Mytilus edulis: one gene and its partner. The protein of the gene in region 2 purifies or fractionates together with the protein of the main gene of each other region. This does not show direct contact. Links are inferred from orthologs where the notes say so. Each region holds a gene or a part of one and is shown on either strand. Other genes may lie near its edges.

Region 1 (10,224 bases), on a different chromosome or scaffold from region 2:
CACTGCAAAACAATGTCTTCATTAAGATTAAAAACAAACAATAGTTTCCTTAACACTTCATTTCCAAAGACATTCATTATCTTGTCAAAGTTAATCAGGGTTAAGAAGCATAATAATTAATTGTTTTTTTAAACAAGTTATAACTAGTTATTACTGGTATTTTTTTCAAACAAAATGTCCTATCTTCATTATTTTATTATTCTATCAACCAAGGATGATTAATGTATAATATTTATTGAATCATTACAGTTTAAGGGTCAGTGTTCTTTGTTATTTGTATAGCTTCTAGAAATCAAGAAAAACAAAAACAGTCTGTTAATGAGGACAAGAGAAAATCAATAAAAGTCACTGTTTGTTTTTCTCTTATTATACAAATTCAATGCAGAAGATATAGAAAGAAGTATTAAATAAATATTTATGCAAAAAATCTTGCAGGAACCAAGGAGATCCTAAAACTTCCTTTTAATGTTGTTTTTCGATCTTAAATCAAACAAGGGGATCATACTTAATCATTTGTCTAGAGCATTTCTAATATAATGAAATTCAAAACAGTGTGGCTGTGGCCATTTATTGACACATTAAATTCATCCATTGACTGGAACAATTTACGTGAACGTTTGTCTTTAACGACCACTGTTCACGACGTACCTACGATAGACATTTAAACTGTGGGGTTACCAAAGGTTTCTTAACGCCTTTAATTATAAAATAATTCGAAAAAATAATCAGGAATAACCTTTATGTTTTGATTTATATAATTGTTATAAATCACCCGAATTACTTCATTGAGGTGTTGAGAACCTTTGGTGGCCCCATAGTTTAAGTGTCTTTAAAAAGTACATAGTGAGCAGTGGTCGTTACATACAAACCTTCACCTAAATTGTCCCAGTCAATGGATGAATTTAATGTGTCAATCAATGGCCACAGCCACACTGTTTTGAATTTCATTCTAAAGGAAATCCAGGTATGGATGCCCCAAATTTCTCAATAGTTATTATAATTTTTAATCATGTATATTATTTATATAGCATTATAATTCAGAAGTCTATTCATGTCCAGTGAATAGATTTAATTAAACTCTGAAATTTGACTTAAATACTAAAACAAATACCTGAATCACAAAGTTTTCAAAGATCACATATTTTACATTATTTCATGTGGGGCCTATATTGCTTACTATTATATATATGGTATGGGGCTGATTATTGTTGATGTTTATATGGTGAGATTGGTGACCTATTGTTGATGTTTATATGGTGAGATTGGTGACCTATTGTTGATGTTTATATGGTCAGAGTTGATGTTTATATGGTCAGATTGGTGACCTATTGTTGTTTACATAGATCTACACCATTAGGTCTCTGTTGGAAAGTTGTCTCATTGTTAATCAAACCTCATCTTTTAGTTCTTATAAAGAATCGTTTCAAATTAAAAGTATTAACATTTTGGGACAGGATGTCGCTTATCAACCATCAACATGACCTCTGAATATTGCAGATACAAGATATATATATAAGCCTATAATCATAAATGCAACATGCAATAGTATAATGACAACTTTCCTACTTTTGATTGGTTACATATATTTATGACAATAGTAACACCATTGTTTTACCTGTAATCTGTAAAAGAATGACTTTTTTGTTGTTGGTCACTTTGACTTCCACTTTGACTTCCCTAGTTTTACATTTCAGCTGACAATATTTTTAATAACTAAAGCACATACATACTTCAGGGCATAAAGATTACCATTTCCTGTTTCTCAGGGAAAGTAAATTATTACATGGGAACTGACATTCCAGTTAATACATTTTTTGTAATATCCCGTTGGGAAAGTCCTTTTCTGGTAAATAAATAAAATAATTTGTCCCTATTACTTGTTTAAATTTCAAAATATGTTAAACCCCTAAAAAGTATGCACAGATTGCAGGATTTTGCATCCTAAATTTCAAAATTTTCTTCCGGGGCCCAAAACTCCCACTTTGCTTGTCTCAACAGGAGATAGTGGAATTGCAAACAGGAAATTGATTTTTTTTATCACTTTTCCTGGGGTAAGTGGCCTGCCAAAATAATCTTCATGCCCTGATACTTACCTCTTGAACAGAGTTGAACACAGGAAGTCCAAGATGTTTCTGTCCTCCTTTTCCTGGAGACACACCTCCAACCATTTTAGTGCCATATTCAATAGCTTGCTGACTGTGAAATGTTCCCTTTAATATAAAACAACATTTTCAGCAATTTTTAATCACATTTTAAGCTGTATTAAAGCCCTTTTGTTAACCACACACTAAAAGTTGAAAAAAATGTACATGACTGGTCATTTCATATCAACTTTTCTATACTTTTTTGATACTGTAAATTCTAAAATTATTGCGTGCATTTATCAGTTTATAATTGCAATTTTGTCATTTTGGACTAAAATGCAATTTTAATTTTTGCAATACATTGTATTGAGAAAAATCCTGTTTAATTTATATAAAAAATTTCAAAATGGGAGTTTAACATGTTTAATAACCCTATTGCATTTTTCGCAAATGATAAAAACATTGCAACAATTTCTGAATGTTACAATATCTTATATTTCTTGTCTTTAATCTTACTATTAAAGGTCATAGGATGCATATCTTTTACATTGTACTAGTAAGTGAAAAAAAGATATAATTGAATGGATTGGCTTTCAAATTTATAAAATCTGAAGCGCAGAGCATCTATTTTACTATATATACATGTACATGCTGTATAATAATCATATGTATTCTCTCTTCATCTGCTATTGTGTACCTATAGCTACTGTGTGAAGTTTCATTGGTATTCCTCAAAATAATATGAGAACCTGTTGAACGTTCAAGAGGGAAATTCAATTGCATTTCAACTTATATAAATATATATCCCTTTTTCCTTCTTCATATCTTTGTGGATCTCAGAAAACAGAAAACAAAATCTAATTGTAATTCATCAAACTCAGTTTTTTGATAAAATACAAATTGTAGATAGTTTTACCTGTTTGCCTGTAAATCCTTGGCATATGACTTTTGTATTTTTGTTGACCAGCAGGTTAGGTCGTGAGTTGGTGTAACAGTGTCTGATTCCTACTCTGCCAATAGCTGTATAAAGATAAAATATAAATCAAACTGCCATCTTCTGTGGAATTACCTAGATAGTTGATAGTTAGAATATACACCTTTAGTTAGAATATACATTTTGTACATCTTCAACCAGTTTACATGTATCCCAATGGGAAACTTTGTCTTACTGACAAAATGTCAGACAAACACCAAATTAGCCAGACGGAAATTTTAAAATATTCTAGTTGACATGAAAAAAGTAGAAAGGATCAAATTTCTAAAAAAAAATATAAAACAGTTTAACACCAACAGAATTATGGAATATTACTAAAGTTTAATACTGTACATGTTCTACTATAATATATTGCAAATAAAATTAAAATGAAAATCGACATTAATGCATTTATCACTTAATTAACAACAGTGCCTTTTCTTGTTACATTCAATGATTCTTTATTGTATTTCTTCAACAAAATTCTTATAAAGTCTTGGTCACATTAAAAATTTCTTTAAATATCAGTAAATATTCAATTAATGATTTCTATTATCATTGAATTTGTTGTGGAAAACGTTCTTGATTTTTTTTTTAGGATTTCTAACAACCAATGATCAAATTGGCAGTCTCTTCACCAGTGGCATATCCAGAGAAGGGTTCTGGGTTTGTTTGTTTTTTGCCCTGAACATGCTGAAATTTGGGAAATAAAAATTAAAAAAATCTGTTCATAATTAGTAATTACAACAATAAACACCACATAATGTCAATGTGCATCAGCAACTCATTTTTTCAGTTTATTCCTTTTGCATGTGCAGATTTTACGAGAGACACCCAAGCTATGGTTTACCTATTTGTCCTCATTTATGAAGCTAATGAAGAATCCTTTTTTTTTTTATTTCAAAACATGTATATTATACCAAAAAAAATGATTTACTAATCTTATCTATGTAAAAATAAGCCATGACCTTCTAAATAAAACAAATAATTCAGTTTAGGAAAAAAATCTATAATGTATAATTCTTTTTCAATACTGAATAGCTACTTATATATGTGGAGTTCTTCTTTTTTCGCAGGTAGCATTTGCCTTATATTACACGATTCTGTGTATAATATCACTTATGAGGTTTTTAACCCACCCTTTCAAGTTTGAACAGAAAAATTATTTGATTTCTATGATTTTCACAAGTGTCTGTGATGTTTAACTCCAGCATGGTCAAACACAATGCCAGTTTTCGTATTGATTTCACAACACATGTTTAAGAAAAGATTTTTTATAAGATGAAACATGAACAGGAGGAGATTAATTATGTTATTTACCAGAAACTTTGCCAAGGACTTTTCTGGCAGTCGACATCGTGAAAAACCGGAAGCTAGTAAAGCTAAATAAAATTTTCTCTACACCGGATTAGTGATGTTCTGATTTCGGATTCTATTCAGCCTTCTGCCAGCCCCGCCTACAAACGCAAGTGGATAGTAGGGACTGGCTTTTATCTGACTGATTTTTTTTTCGTGTATAATTCCACATAATAAAAGCAGTATTCTAATATGACGTGCTTTGTATACCAACCCATGCTCGAAATCCAATAAAATGTGTTTACACATGCGTATATTGGAAATTGAATACCCGGAAAAATGATTTTACTTTTAAACTTTTAAATGATGCACATGTTGTAACTAATACACATACAATGATTCGCAATTGACATATTTGACCTAAATGGGCGTTTTTCAATAAAAACGTAAATTCTTGTCCCAGCCACTTTTAAAAGAATGTGTCAGTTGTTCTTTAAAAGAAGTATTTTTTTTGTGCAGTCAGTCCATTCCAGTAATTCAATTAATATTATGAGATTTGACAATTTTAAGCAAAGAAACATACTATTTTTAAAGGGATTAATAAGATATTTATTCCTGAATGGTTCTAAATAACCAAAATGGCATGTCCCTAGACCCCCTGTTCAATATGTTCAACATTCACACTCTAAAATATTGTAAAAAAGGTAGAAATGAATTTTATTTTTTACTTTTAATAGAAGTTCTTTAATTATTCAAAAGTATGTGTATAGCCAACATATTTTAATAAAAAGAACTTTTAACAATGGATTTTTAGAAGGTGTATCCCTGACAAAATGTCTACTACGAAACGAAGTCATTAAATTTTGCTAATAAACATGATAAAAAGTTCTATAAAATCAATGTTTGCAAGAGATATAAACATTAGGGTCTTACAAAAGAAGTGATGCTTTTAAAACGGCAGTTAAATCGTTGGCAAAAAAAATTGAGCACATCAAATGGACCAGAGTGATACCGTATTTTACTGAGTTAATGTCCACTACGAAACGGGTCAAATCTCCTTCAGTATCTGGTTTTAAAATTATGAAAACAATATCAGTGTACAGCTTAGTACGTGCTTTGGTGAATAGATTCATTCTTGTTACTATTGCAATATAGGGATTTGGGGGGGGGGGGGGGGGATACAACATGTGAATATGTCCACTACGAAACGGTCACCTACGAAACAAGTATGGGAGAAAAACGTTTCGTAGTGGACACTACCACTACCATGCAGTCGTTTTTTTACTCTTTTTTCAATTATATTTGTGCCGGCAAAACAAATAACAAGAGTTAGTTTCATGTAATTTTCAGTATTTTTTATCAATATAGGATAGGGTTGATGTCATTTACGAAACTTTTTGTCCACTACGAAACTCATCAAAATGTCCACTACAAAACATGAGCTGTACCTTCATATGTGAAGTACTGTCTAATCTCATAAGTTATCGATTAAAATGGTTCTCCAATTCCGAAAAAAGGGAGATTGTTCTAGTATATAAAGTAAAACAAACTGGATGTCTATAAGAGACATTAAAATGCAATAAGATGTGCGTTTAGAAGCAGTTTTATAGTGGACAAATGTCCCCTAGGAAACAGTACATAAATTATGAAAATAAAATCATTTTAAAGAGTATTTAAGATTGCATTTTTTATATAAAAACATGTCCATAATAGAGATATTCAAAATAACTCTTGAAATAAAATTTTGGACAATTTGATTTTCCATTTTTTTATGTCTGAAATTCATTTTTTATTGAAAAACGCCCAGATACGGCAACGTTTCATTCAACTTGTTCAAAACTTGATCATGACCTCCAAAGAAGAAGACGTTAAATTATAACTTTTCTGTTATATTGTGACACGAATATTGTTATTGTTAATAAATGTGTTAACTTCTTTTACACTGATTTTAAATTTGACAATTACAACTTTGCACAATTTTAACTAAACTGTGGATCGAACTAACTATTTAGAAGAAAACTGTCTATGGAAGTCAAGAGCCTACACAAACTCCCTACACTTGCACACATCGAAAATAGAAATTACTGTAATTGTCCTAATCCGAATCGAAATAATTGACGCAAACTATACTTTATTGTAGTTTTAACAGGGGTAGACATTATATTCGTGGTAATTGGCAAAAATAATAACGAATATAATGCTTACTTAAAATTTCAATAAAGTATAGCTTGCATCAATTGTTACTAGAGCGTGTACATCAGTCAAAAATTAAACTATCTACAGTCGGTTCAAATTAATTAATCCATCAATATCTTTTTGCCGATTAGTTGTATATTGGAATATGAGGGAATATGTATAATGCTATCGTGTCGTTATATAAGTCAGTAGAGTGCTGTGTTCGGATAAATGGACAATTAACGGACTGGTTCAATGTCCAATGTGGTCTAAAACAAGGTTGTTTGCTCTCACCATTACTTTTTGATGTGTATGTGAACGGTCTTGTTACGTATATATGTTCATTAAATGCTGGAATAAATATTGACGAGGAAAACGTGTCGATTCTACTTTACGCTGACGACCTTGTTTTGTTAGCTGGCTCGGAATCAGACTTGCAAGTTTTGCTAGATGGGCTTCAGCTCTGGTGTGCAGAGAATAAGAATAAAAAGTCAAACGTTGTTCATTTTCGACCAAATTCGACCCCAAGGACAATAAACAGTTTTAAATGTGGCGACCTTGACATAAATGTGGTGGAAAAATATACATACATAGGTTTAGTGTTAACGGAGCATTTGGACTATCAAATTATGGCGAAACACGTAGCAGCATCCGCCAACCGTGCCTTGGGACTAGTGATATCTTAATATAAATCCTTTGGAGGACTACCGTTTGATTCTTTCACAAAATTGTATGACTCGATTGTTTGGAGTACAATCAGCTACGGAGCGGCAGTGTGGGGTGATAGAACATTTTCATGTATAAATTCGATACAAAATAAGGCAATTCGTTTTTATATGGGAGTCGGACGGTATACACCTAATGTAGCAGTGAATGGAGATTCAGCCTGGAAACCCGTGACCTTGTGTAAGGCAGTGGCGAACTGTTATAAATCATTGGAATCGTTTAAGGTATATGAACACTGATCAACTTAATAAAAGAATTCATAACTGGGCGGAACATAAGTTTTAGGCGTTATAAAGCATGTAAAAATTCAAATTATAGACTTTATCAGCAGTTTGAATCATGTAATATTAGTGACTGGTATAATGACACGAACATTCACAAAACTACGGTGTTAGCGAACTAGTGTGGATCTAGCCGGCGTTAATATTCATGATGCTAGCCGTCAATAATATTCATGAGATCAAAACCGCGTTCGATGAAATGTTTTGGGTAGTTATTAGATTGTGACAATAAAATAACTTTTGCTGTTAATATCCAATATGGTTATGCTATTTATAGCAATATAAAGTAATTAGGAAATAGTAAGCCAATAGGTGTCTTCTGCAAGGTCCGCGTCATTTAAAATGAAAGTAAATGAAAAGTTTAATTGCATTGCCTCACACAACACAAAACAATTATGAACATTAAAATGTTGTTATTATTGAATCAATGTAAACTATAGTAATTAAAACAAGATGATTAAATATAGGGTAATTAAATGGAATTAATTGTCATATGGGCATTCCATAATCTGTTCGTTGTCTACAAATATAGTCCAATTCTAAAACTAAAATATACAATACATACGATAGTATCACACAATTAAAAAGATCAGAAAAACAAGAAACATAGTTTGTTGAAGGAATATAATAAACAGAAAAATAGAAACTGTCAATTACTATTTCAATGACATAATTCTTCAAAATTACGGAGATCAATAAGAGTCTTTAATCTCAACATTACCAGTCCATTTAATTGCCTCTAAAATGTCCCATAGCACTTATGCCCTAGACCCGTACGAGTTAGTCAGAAAAGGATAAGGGGGTACCCTGGTATATCACAAATTCGAAAATGAACTATTGCCGGCTGGCCAAACGAAGAGATTCTCCACTTGGGCAATGATACCAGAGGAAGAGGTACTTATTGCCTTTAAAATGGCCCATAGCACTTATACCCTAGACCCGTACGAGTTTGTCAGTAGAGGGTTCAAAGGGGGGATATGGTATCCCGGATACAACGAATTCGAACTGAACTATTGCCGGCTGGCCAAACTAAGAGATTCTCCACATCGGCCATTATACCAGAGGTAGAGGTTGGTATTGCCTCTAAAATGGCCCATAGCACTTATGCCCTAGACCCGTACGAGTTAGTCAGAAAAGGATAAGGGGGTACTCTGGTATATCACAAATTCGAAAATGAACTATTGCCGGCTGGCCAAACGAAGAGATTCTCCACTTGGGCAATGATACCAGAGGAAGAGGTACTTATTGCCTTTAAAATGGCCCATAGCACTTATACCCTAGACCCGTACGAGTTTGTCAGTAGAGGGTGTAAAGGGGGGATATGGTATCCCGGATACAACGAATTCGAACTGAACTATTGCCGGCTGGCCAAACTAAGAGATTCTCCACATCGGCCATTATACCAGAGGTAGAGGTTGGTATTGCACTTATACCCTAGACCCGTACGAGTTTGTCAGTAGAGGGTTCAAAGGGGGGATATGGTATCCCGGATACAACGAATTCGAACTGAACTATTGCCGGCTGGCCAAACTAAGAGATTCTCCACATCGGCCATTATACCAGAGGTAGAGGTTGGTATTGCCTCTAAAATGGCCCATAGCACTTATGCCCTAGACCCGTACGAGTTAGTCAGAAAAGGATAAGGGGGTACCCTGGTATATCACAAATTCGAAAATGAACTATTGCCGGCTGGCCAAACGAAGAGATTCTCCACTTGGGCAATGATACCAGAGGAAGAGGTACTTATTGCCTTTAAAATGGCCCATAGCACTTATACCCTAGACCCGTACGAGTTTGTCAGTAGAGGGTTCAAAGGGGGGATATGGTATCCCGGATACAACGAATTCGAACTGAACTATTGCCGGCTGGCCAAACTAAGAGATTCTCCACATCGGCCATTATACCAGAGGTAGAGGTTGGTATTGCCTCTAAAATGGCCCATAGCACTTATGCCCTAGACCCGTACGAGTTAGTCAGAAAAGGATAAGGGGGTACTCTGGTATATCACAAATTCGAAAATGAACTATTGCCGGCTGGCCAAACGAAGAGATTCTCCACTTGGGCAATGATACCAGAGGAAGAGGTACTTATTGCCTTTAAAATGGCCCATAGCACTTATACCCTAGACCCGTACGAGTTTGTCAGTAGAGGGTGTAAAGGGGGGATATGGTATCCCGGATACAACGAATTCGAACTGAACTATTGCCGGCTGGCCAAACTAAGAGATTCTCCACATCGGCCATTATACCAGAGGTAGAGGTTGGTATTGCACTTATACCCTAGACCCGTACGAGTTTGTCAGTAGAGGGTTCAAAGGGGGGATATGGTATCCCGGATACAACGAATTCGAACTGAACTATTGCCGGCTGGCCAAACTAAGAGATTCTCCACATCGGCCATTATACCAGAGGTAGAGGTTGGTATTGCCTCTAAAATGGCCCATAGCACTTATGCCCTAGACCCGTACGAGTTAGTCAGAAAAGGATAAGGGGGTACCCTGGTATATCACAAATTCGAAAATGAACTATTGCCGGCTGGCCAAACGAAGAGATTCTCCACTTGGGCAATGATACCAGAGGAAGAGGTACTTATTGCCTTTAAAATGGCCCATAGCACTTATACCCTAGACCCGTACGAGTTTGTCAGTAGAGGGTGTAAAGGGGGGATATGGTATCCCGGATACAACGAA
Region 2 (10,855 bases):
AGCGTATGAGTTTAGTAATGACAAGTAAGACAGAGTTGTATATTATACATCTGATAGTTCAAAATGGAAAGTTATAAGTTATAAGTTATCAGCCGTGTACACTGATCAATACCTGCAGAAGTGAAACGATGCATGAACTTGCAAGCCCGACAGGAAATCGCTTGAATACCTGGACGTGTCACCTCACACCCCTCACAATACCTTTGGAAGTAATACCTTTAGCCATGTTGGTGATCAGATAAGGGAAGATCAAAATATATTTGAAAAAAGTTTATTACTTTAAAGAATTATGAACAAATTAGATTTTCGAAAACAATTTTCACGGAACACTTATTTATGATTTCAACTTTGACTTTTCACCTAATTCCAATATCAACAGTTTAAAAACAACAGACCATGGTAATTTAAAAAAAGTAAGAATATTTTCCGTATCAAGTTAGTTAGTCGTATTAAACAACCGTACGATTGACAAGATATCGACACGCAATTACGACTACATCGGTTACTGTAGTTTTGTTTCTTTGTGGTTTATAGACATATCGTTTTTATTCATCGGGAAAGAAGACAAGATGGCGGATCTCGGAGAATTGATACTCTAAATTTAAAATCGATGGTGATCGCTTATCTAGCGGAATAAAACTTTAATATCTATGAATTTGAACATTTTTATACAGAATGAACATAATATCAATTTTTGATTTTTTTGCGAAGTTTCCCTTTAAGAACAGGTAGACAAGTATTTATGACATCATATGAAAGTTACAATTTTAAAAGTGTTATTGTGAAAATTCATAGAATTTGGTTGATTAATTTTTGGTTTTCGGACAGAGCTCAACAAAGAAATACAGTGTTACATACATTTTAGAAAGCCTTGCAGTGAGTTACAACATTTGAAATAAAATGTGTGTCAGTAAAACAAATGTTGTCTAATATATCAAGAAAATAATCCAGAACTTCAAACTTTGAAATCCAGCTATTATCTATTCTAATGCAATTATTTTGTATCAATGGTTCTGATTGGATGACAGTTAGCGTAAAATTCTCTATCTCCTTGTCTGTAACTAAGGTAGCCGACATTTTGAATTGCTGAATGTATTGACATGTAATTTCTACAATAAAAAGCCAAAAAACTAACATGTCGCACCTACAAATCTTCTTTTTATAAAATTTCATTACATTCTGAAGCGGCAAAGAAGCCAGAAACTCCTGGTGTTTATGTTTGACGCTGGAAGCATACCTATGACGTCACCTAATGTAGGGACCAAAGAAGATAACATCTTTTCGTGGAATTTTCTTTAATGAAGATTTTACACTGAAATAATTATTGGAATTTAATTATGAACTTGTTTTGCATTAGAATAGAGATAACTGTATTGTATTTGAAGCTTTTCGGACGTCCATCGGTAGTTTTACTGTGGCAAATACCTGTTTACCTGTCTCTACTACGTGTTGCCATGTAAACTAAATTTGCGACAGTAAAACTACCGATGGACGTCCTTAAAGCTTCAAATACAATACAGTTATCTCTAAATTCATCCCCAATAAAGGTCAAAGTTTAACTACATAGTATTTATAAATATTTACTGCACAATAACTGTTAATATTCTGCTGTAATACAGCAACTTCTTCCTTTGTCCACTGTCCTTGTTTCCATGTTGCACCTTTAAAGACATATTAAAAAAAATCAATAAAATCAAAGTGCACCTTATTCAGTAAAACTATGATTTTTGCTTTTAAAAGTGTGTTTTGATAAGAGTTTCAATCTGTTATATATTGCATTTCCAATAGTCAGAAATACTCAAGATCATCTCAAAGGGAAGCTGTTTCAAGATCACCTCAAACTTAAATTTAGACTATTTTTCAAATAACATCTTTTTTGTCCCAAATTGTTAAAAGATAATATAATTATTGATACTTCATAAACCATTTAGACTGTATCCTTATGTCAAATATCTTTTTTTGTGTTTTATCATTATTGAATTGTTATTTCAATGAAGTTCTCCCTCAAATCTTATTTTATTCATATGCTTCATTAATGTGTATACCCTTGCTATGAAGAGCATCCTTTTCATCTCTAGTTGTGAACCAAGCCTGAGAAATATCTGAGCTTTCTAAAGCTTTTCTGTTCCCAGAACCTGACTGTTTAGGGCCTCCAGCATCTCCTGCACTCAATAAGACTGATCCATTGGTTGCCTTAAACATAAAAGAGTATCTATTGAAATAAATAAAAAAAAATTTTTTAGTAGAAAACACATGGTTCTGCATACATGTACATGGAGTAAATGGATTCCGGAAAATAAAACAAACTTATTTTTAAAAAATTATATTGAAATACTGTGAATCAGATACACGATAAAATTATGATACTTATCTTATGATTAATTTAACTTATCTAATTCAATCATTTACAGACAAAAAGGTTATTTCAAATCTCAAATTATTGCAAGTTCATTTATTATAGTTTAGTGAACTGTTCCTTGCATAATAAAACAAAAATGGTTCACAGGACATTTTCACTATGAACAACCCTCTTTACTCTTTCTGAAGTTTGTTAAAAAGTCAAAGAAAAGTTGAGAACTTGAAAATTTGGTATTTTTTTTTTTTTTTTTAACTTGCATCGAAATCTGGGGGAAAAGAAAGACTGTTCTCCTTCTCTCCCATGTTAAATTTGTATGCCTATCAAATTATTTTTTTCCACCTTATACATCATTAAATTTACCTGAACTGTTTCCACTTTTTCTACAATGGTTTCATCAGTTGTCAAAGTATCCTCTGTAACAGAAATGAAATGTCTTAAATGCTATATATATATGGTACTTCTTTTAAATGTCTGTTTTTGGTTATTTTGCGTTGTTTTGATGCTGTCTTATAGAATTCGAAGGTACATATGTTGTAAAACACAAATGTAAGAAAGATAGTAGAAAAAATGTATGACTGTCTGTATAAAATCTGCACTTGTATAGTTATTTGTTATGATTTTAACATAACACTGAGAAAAGTTGACTCAGATTTATAAAAAAAACAAACTATATCTATATTTAGCTATTTTTAATGTTTTGTAAATATTTTAAACATTCTAATATTTACATACTAAATTATTTATTACGTGTGTTAAAATAACATTGTTAATGATTGTTCGGCACTCTATAATTTTATTTTTGTAATTGAATTAGTCTCTGTACTGATTAATCCACACTCTCATAGTGTTGTATGTCATGTGTTGCTATTTTTAGGCACTTTTTGGCTATTCATATATACATCTACCTGGAGCCACAGATAGCACATAAGACTGGCCATCACCACCTTCAATACGAAATCTTTTGGCTGCAGGTTCATCTCCATTTTGAGTATTTTCAATAGAATCCATTCCAAGGGATGCTAAAATTATATAAGAACCATATAATGTTTTAAACAAAACTTAAGCAATGATATTATAGGGGGACTCCTCTAATCTGACTGTATACTAAGATGTGTGGGTGGAACAGATTATTTTTTTTATTAAATGTAAAACAAAACAATGAATTGCAATTTTGTGTGCCTGACTCCATGCTTTATTGACTAGGATTGTCAGTTTTCCTACCAAAGATCAGTATTTTTTCACCAGGTATTTACAAATTAAGAATCTGAGACATCTTAGTTTTAAATCTCAGATTCTCAAGATTTTAATGCAATGTACATATTTATGATTTTTTTATTTTAAAATACCAGTCTCACATCTGTCTGTACCCAAAATCATATTTTGAGACCGTGCCTACCACCCTGACCCCTCAGTGTAATTTTCACTTACCAGCAGCTTCTTTTGACAGAATAAGGAACCCAGCTGTTGAAGATGGATCCATGTCAACAATGTTCTCTATGTCCTTCCATTCCTCAACAGCTACATCTGTTTGTTCTAAATCTGCTTCCCCATCTGGTACCTCTATCTTCAAAAGATGAGTCTTGTGAATTGTCTCCCCTTCATCACCATTGTCAATGGCCTCTCCTTGTAAATTTGCATTGATTGTAACATCTTCTATAGACGTTGTAGACTGTGTTAGGTCATGTTGTTCATTATATTGTATTTCTGATGTTCCGTTTGTACATATTTCTTGTACAACTGGTTCTGAAGTTTCCTGATTTGCTGTCTCCATAAAAAACACCTGCAATATAAAGATTCATTAATTATCTATAATGCCATATCTTAAATATATTTTTTATCTTGGATTTTCAAATTCAGTGTATATATATATAGAAATCAATTATGAAAATCAATGGAAATTTGAATTTGGTAAAGATTTGTGTTTTCATTCATTTTTTAAGATAATGAAATTAATACATTTATAATCTCCTGCTTCTCCATAATACATTGTACATCTATTTTGGTTAGAATTCAAAAAGATCCTTACATGGTGTCTTTCCGTAACTGAGAGTATATGTGACAGTAAACAGTGTCACTTATTAACAAATAGCTGGTGCTTTCCACAGGTTAAAATATCCTAGTGTAAATCATCCTCCCGAATTTTACCCTTATTGATTTACTAGCAATTCTAGAAAGACAAATACAAAATGTATAATAGAGCATGTTGAAGGTAATCTATAAAAATGGAGGACATGCATTTTTCATTTGGAGAAAATTACATGTATTAATAATTATACTAGTCTAGTGTTTTCCACTCAAGTTTAAAAATAACTCTACTATTTTTACTATCATGGATAAAATGCACTAGCATTTTTTTTTAGTTAACATGGTTAAGGAATAAGGATACAATACAGTAGTATTTTTAGGTATGATATAATATGTTAGATTTCTTTTAAAATAAAGTATTTTGTACCATAAGAATATAAAACCAAAGTTGTTAAGGTTGTTACAATTTTCAAGCCAAAAAACCCATCTACATTTGTACATATAGGAGTAAAATGTCAATAGGACATTTCCTCCTCCTCTATCATGTCTATGTTGCTTTAAATTGTGGAATGTATGAAAAATATATGATAAATATAATCAAATTAATTATTATTCAAATATATCAATTTCATAAAGATTGTTGCAATTATCTGCCATAGTAGGTTTTCTTTTTCATTTGTTTAATATGTTGTCATAAAATTGAGAAAGGAAATGGTGAATATGTCAAAGCGACAACCACCCGACCATAGAGCAAACAACAGCCAAAGGCAACCAATGGGTCTTCAATGTAGCGAGAATCATGTCTGGATCTATTTTAATATGTTCTACACAGTACAAATTTGGCTTTGTTGACGGCAGGTTTGGTTGTTTACAAAACTTAAGGACAAAAGGGATGATTTCAGCTTCCCAATTGTGAACTTTCAATTTCTATGTACATGTAGCAACATTCCAGCAGTGCCTGCATACGAAATATATACAGACAGATGTGTGGATCTGCTAATTACCCATCCAGAGCACATGAGATCAACTCCAGTTTTTTGTGACGATCATGTTGTTCAGTCTTTAGTACTATGTTGTGTTCTGTGAACTAATTGTTTGTCAGTCTTTTTTTTCTTTTTTAGCCATGCGTTGACAATACACCCTATATCGCTATTCCCAGCTGCTTGAACTTCTGACCTCATACAACAATCACTTGTCCATTGTGGTGTCAGACATTTTGTTTTATGACTTCAAAATTTTACGGGGACCTGTTTGATATCCGTTAATGGGGGACAAAAAGCGATATTAAGGTGTATTTATTTTTTGTGACTTACAAAATGACTTATGAGTTTAAATGGCGCTTCGGTATCTTTCGCCTCTCTCTTTTATTACAATGGCGCTTTTAAATATTACAGATAATTATTATTTATACATGTTAACAAATGTTCCAATTAATAATTTAAACAATGCAGTTGAGTTTATAAAAATTTATGATTGAAAGTGATTTTATGCACTCATAAACAGATTTGTTTTGATTTTATAATTTTGTCAACATATTGATATTGATTTATTTAGATTTTGTAAGCCACGGAATCATTTCATTTATCAGAACTTGAAAATGTAAAAGCACACAATATTACAGCTGATAAACACGTGGTTTTGACATTTTACAATGTTTTCGTACGGGTGATCAAAGAAGAGCCAGGATGAAAATCTTGTAAGTCCCAGGATGAACAGAAGAAAGTATTGCGGATGAATTTAGACTTATTGTTAAGCGATAATAAATAAGATATAGTATCATCAATTCAAAAACTTACTAATTTTAATGAGCAGAATTTGTATGTTTTTTCATTTTTTTGACGGCAATAACAATCGTGTTGCTGATAATCATAGGACTATTTTGTTTGTACAAAAGAAGTTCGAAGTATCGCGAGAGTTTGAGTTTCTTTTCGAGAAAAATGGCTGCGCCCATGAAAATGATAAGAACGTCAGTTAGACACGGTTTATTGCAAAGACTGTGGAATAAAGTAAATGTCAATGAGATCTGATTTATTTTCCAACACAATATATATATATTTGATTATATCAGGTGCCTGATTGCTTATGTTCTTCAACAAAATTACACTTTATAGCATCTATCAACATTACCAAGTTTTGACTTTCAAGCCGATAAGGTGACCAGTCACTATAATAATGTAAACATACACATGGAAAAGGTTTAAACTAGAACATTCTGGTCAGCATTGTTTTCTGAATTAATCTCGCAATGTCCTTGATATATACCTCCCCTAATTCGTGTAATTGGCTACAAGCCGATAAGGTGACCAGTCACTATAAAAATGTGAATCCGGGTCCGTCCGCCCTGATTCTGGTTCGCCCTAGTTTCTGTTCGCCCTAATACCTGTTTGCCCCGAGTCCATTCGCCCTGATTTTATTTTTTAGTATAGTGTTGCGTTGTGTGTATATAATTGAATGTGTTGAAGTCAGTCTACAATTTCGCCGAATATTTACGATGTATCATATTAACTTGTCTAAAGCTAGCTGCTATACTAAGTTATAAGTTTCAGTACATTTCAGGACTACAAGATATTGTGACTTCAAGGTATTGAGGACTAAGTTTGTATCTGTATGTAATTACGTTACTAGGAAATATAAGTTTCTGTGAATTTCAGCACTACATTGTATTTTTAAATGTAAAACAACTGAAGACAAAGTTGTTGTCTTGCTGCTACGAGGATAAGTTTCTGTGAATTCAAAGACTACAAAGTATTTGACATAAAACACTAAAGACTAACATGACTAAGTTATTCATATATTTAACTTTCTTGATACATTTTAACAATTTAAAAATATTCAGTAACAGTTATAACAAGATCAATTCCGAACTGTACTTCACACACATTTATTTCCTAAACGAATATTTAAAAGCACTAAATAGAATTACTATTAGTGAAACAAATACCAAAAACGCAGTCACACTGCTGTACATGATCACTTGTCATCAGTGTTTTTACCCATCCTTTTTTTTAATTTTTTTATAGACAATTCATATAACAATCAGTGATATCAAAGGTATCAAATGACACCTAATCAGCAATCAAAATTCAATCAACAGTAATTAAAAGTAATTATAAAATAAAGTGTAACAATGCAGCCAAGAATGTTATTTAATTAATATAAATTTGGCAAATATTCTGTATTTAACTTTTAATAGATATACATAAATTTTAATATATATATATATTGTTCATTGATGTAACATATATAGATATTTATATCATAATATAGGGCAAACGAACCCAGGGCGAACAGACTATCAGGGCAAACAAACTCAGTTCGAACAAACCTAGGGCGAACATGTAATCAGGGCGAACGATCCCGATACCTAAAAATGTAAACATACACAGTGTTCTAGGATTTTTTTGGCACCTTGACTTACCACGGGTAAGATCAATAAAAAAATTACTTACCCACATCTAAAAGTTTAATCCGCCAACCAATGCGGACGGCGCAAAGCTCGCCGCCCTTATGGCCGGGGGTCTGGGGGCCGCTCAAAAAACTTTTATGACATGCTTTAAATTATATGTTGTGAAGTTTGTCTGAACAAAGCTGGATTCGGATACGATTGAATTTTGTACAAAATTTAAAAAAAAACGATTTCTTACTAAATTTGACAAATATGTTATAGTTATTACTATGTCATTTATTAAGAGTTATAATAAATGCAACTGTAAGTTTATTTTCCTCCGATGACAAGAAAAAAAATCGTTTATGTCCCGATTTTAGCACCAGTTATCAATCCGGATTTTCCGATTTTACCGACACCGTGACCGACTTTTAGAATGATAGGTGAAGAATGTGGTCTCTTTTGCGCTTGATTACACCTAGTAAACGAGTGCTTGAATAAAAGCGCCGATAGACATCGACAAAATCTTCGATCTTTTATCAAAGTTTTTTCTCGTGATTTAATAAAAATAAAAAGCAGATATGGGAAAATTGAAGAGGACCGGGAAATTTCAAGAGTTTTTCGGCTTCCCCGAACTTGAAAATTGACTTACCACCGGGTGACAAAGGCTAAAAAATGACTTACCCGTTGTCCTAATCCACTTACCCCGGGTAACGGGTAATGGGAATCCTAGAACACTGATACACAGTGCTCTAGCTAGAAATCAAAAGGGGCAGGGTGCCAGTGGAGGGCAGGGCACTTTTTATGATAAGAAAAGGCACTGCTCATTTTTTTGTCTAAGTTTCTGTGTGTATCACGAGTTAACGAATCTCTTTGTTTTTTTTATTGTATATGTTGTTTTTTTTAAATAAAGATGCTTTTCAACTATAGTCTTTATTTCATTGTTTGTGTAGTTATGATTGATATGGTACATCTTCATCAACATATTATGTTTTTACAGTTCAACTTCACTCTACCAATTATCAAAGAATATGTGTTTTTTTTTGTTTTTTTGTTGTTTTTTTTTATCTATATAGGAATTATAGCTTTGAAAACATCATATGAACTGAAACAGAGAGCATTACTAATTTAACAATGTTTAGAACATGGATTGCTAAAAGTATAATTATCAAGTAGAAATTGCAATATATATTTTTTAATATGTTCAAAGACAGTTAATATCTTTAAGATAACATGATTATGCTATTATAAATTATTATTCAATTGGTAATTTATTCCCTTTTTTGGTACTAGATAATATTTTTAGAGCACAAATTTGTAATAAGCTAAAACAGGGGAAGTAACTCCGAAATCAATTTCCACCACGTTTGGGTTAATTAAAAACTGTGCTTGTCGCTAACAAGTTAAGATGGAAGGCATTTCTGTAAAGGCATAGTTTTATTTTGATGACTTAAATTCAATTCTAAAGTCATGAAAGTCTTCATTTATATACACTCTTCCATTGTGACTTGGAGATCGAAAATGCCGACCCAAGCTAAACACACTCGCTGACACATTCATCAAAAGTATGACAAAAAGATACATTGTCCTAATTAAATTACCTAGTTATTAACACCTTTGAAGTCTTTATCATTGTAATTGATTGTAATAAAATGATTAACCTGGGGGCAATCACACAGGTGTCATATATGTAATTAACTTGGAGATCAGAAATCGATGAAACAAAATTTTACCAAAACGGCACAAGATAATTTTGGAAAAAGACGTCAGGGCAGAAGGGCGCGGATGAAGGCACCCAGGGTGCAGCTGAGGGCACCCAGGGCGCGGCGCCCTTCTATTTTGGGCTAGCGAGACCACTGATACACATGGAAAAGGTTTAAACTAGAACATTCTGGTCAGCATTGTTTCCTGAATTAACCGTTATCTTGCACTGTCCTTGATATATACCTCCCCTAATTCGTTTAATTGGCTAATATTTTTGCTATCCCTTGGCTTAGATATGTACATCAGGGCTAGTAAAATACTGAGCTGCTTATAAGTCCTGGGCTAGTAAGCCATGCATTAGCTGTAACAAAAAATTTTAACCCTGGAAATTTACTTTCGTTTTAATTCATTGCTAAGTGGTTTGTTAAATCCTGAGAAGTACGAAAATAATTATGACGATATGGCTAACGCTAATTTGATAAAGACAGAAAATATTGAAATGTTTTCATCACCACATGTACCTTAAGCAACGGAAACTTTCAATCAAGAGGGACCCTTTCAGTACCCTATTTTTAGAACAAAACAACATTTCTGATTTTCAATTTAACAAAAATAGATTGTTGCGACAACTATGTAATAGATGCGCAGATAAGGGTAAATAACGCTACACAACACATTCATTGCTATGGACATTGTATATATATATATATAGACAATCAGCTGCAGTGATTCAATATTAAAGTGTAAACAGGAGTTATTCAAGAGGCAGTTGCACTATCAAAATTCTATTAGCTCAGTCTAGAAGTGATAATATTATTACACTAATGATTAAATTAATCATTTTAAATCTAATTACACTAATGATAAACTTAATTGTTTTAAATTGAATTTTTGATGTATCATATCTCCTCTACTGATCAGCTGAAAGTTTTTTTTGTCTTTTAGCTCATAGACTATTTTGTCATGTGACTGTGAAATCATCAATGTTTTTTCATGATTTACTCCTAAAGTATAGAATTTTATAGAAATAAATTATAAGGAATGACTGTAATATATTTTTGTCTAAATGAAATAACCTAAAAATGTGTTAACACTTTTTAAGTTACATTCCTATAATAACTAAGGCAGCCTTGTTTTCACAGCTAAGTTTATCCCTTAATAGCCTTGTCTCATTGATTTACCATGGTTAATCAAAAATGTATTAATTGAATTAAAAAATTAGTTATCAAGGCTATGCATTTAGTTTCTGTTCAAAGTCTCAAGAGTTCCCTAGAGCCCACTATAAATGAAATAATTTTACAAATAACAAACATATATATGTTATTACAGATTTAGAAAATTTAAGGAATAAAAAGTAGACAACTCATGAAAGTATCTGCAAT

Evidence for each region. The genes of interacting proteins can lie anywhere in the genome.
Region 1: the proteins of succinate--CoA ligase [GDP-forming] subunit beta, mitochondrial-like (region 2) and succinate--CoA ligase [ADP/GDP-forming] subunit alpha, mitochondrial-like fractionate together in Homo sapiens (co-fractionation; 6 studies listed by BioGRID and IntAct, counting the BioPlex papers as one, with this or other methods). This does not show direct contact. The link is inferred for Mytilus edulis from reciprocal best matches to the Homo sapiens genes SUCLG2 and SUCLG1.

What each region holds. Positions count from the first base shown.
Region 1 is NC_092347.1:96,972,636-96,982,859, forward strand, and holds the start of succinate--CoA ligase [ADP/GDP-forming] subunit alpha, mitochondrial-like, read right to left. Parts: upstream 4,511-10,224; 5' UTR 4,415-4,510; coding exon 4,378-4,414; intron 3,105-4,377; coding exon 3,001-3,104; intron 2,211-3,000; coding exon 2,094-2,210; intron 1-2,093. UniProt on the Homo sapiens protein: Succinyl-CoA synthetase functions in the citric acid cycle (TCA), coupling the hydrolysis of succinyl-CoA to the synthesis of either ATP or GTP and thus represents the only step of substrate-level phosphorylation in the TCA.
Region 2 is NC_092344.1:74,496,010-74,506,864, forward strand, and holds the start of succinate--CoA ligase [GDP-forming] subunit beta, mitochondrial-like, read left to right. Parts: upstream 1-6,273; 5' UTR 6,274-6,321; coding exon 6,322-6,390; intron 6,391-10,855. Other genes in the region: cyclin-D-binding Myb-like transcription factor 1, read right to left, coding at 1,585-1,661, 2,046-2,193, 2,720-2,772, 3,265-3,378, 3,788-4,130. UniProt on the Homo sapiens protein: GTP-specific succinyl-CoA synthetase functions in the citric acid cycle (TCA), coupling the hydrolysis of succinyl-CoA to the synthesis of GTP and thus represents the only step of substrate-level phosphorylation in the TCA.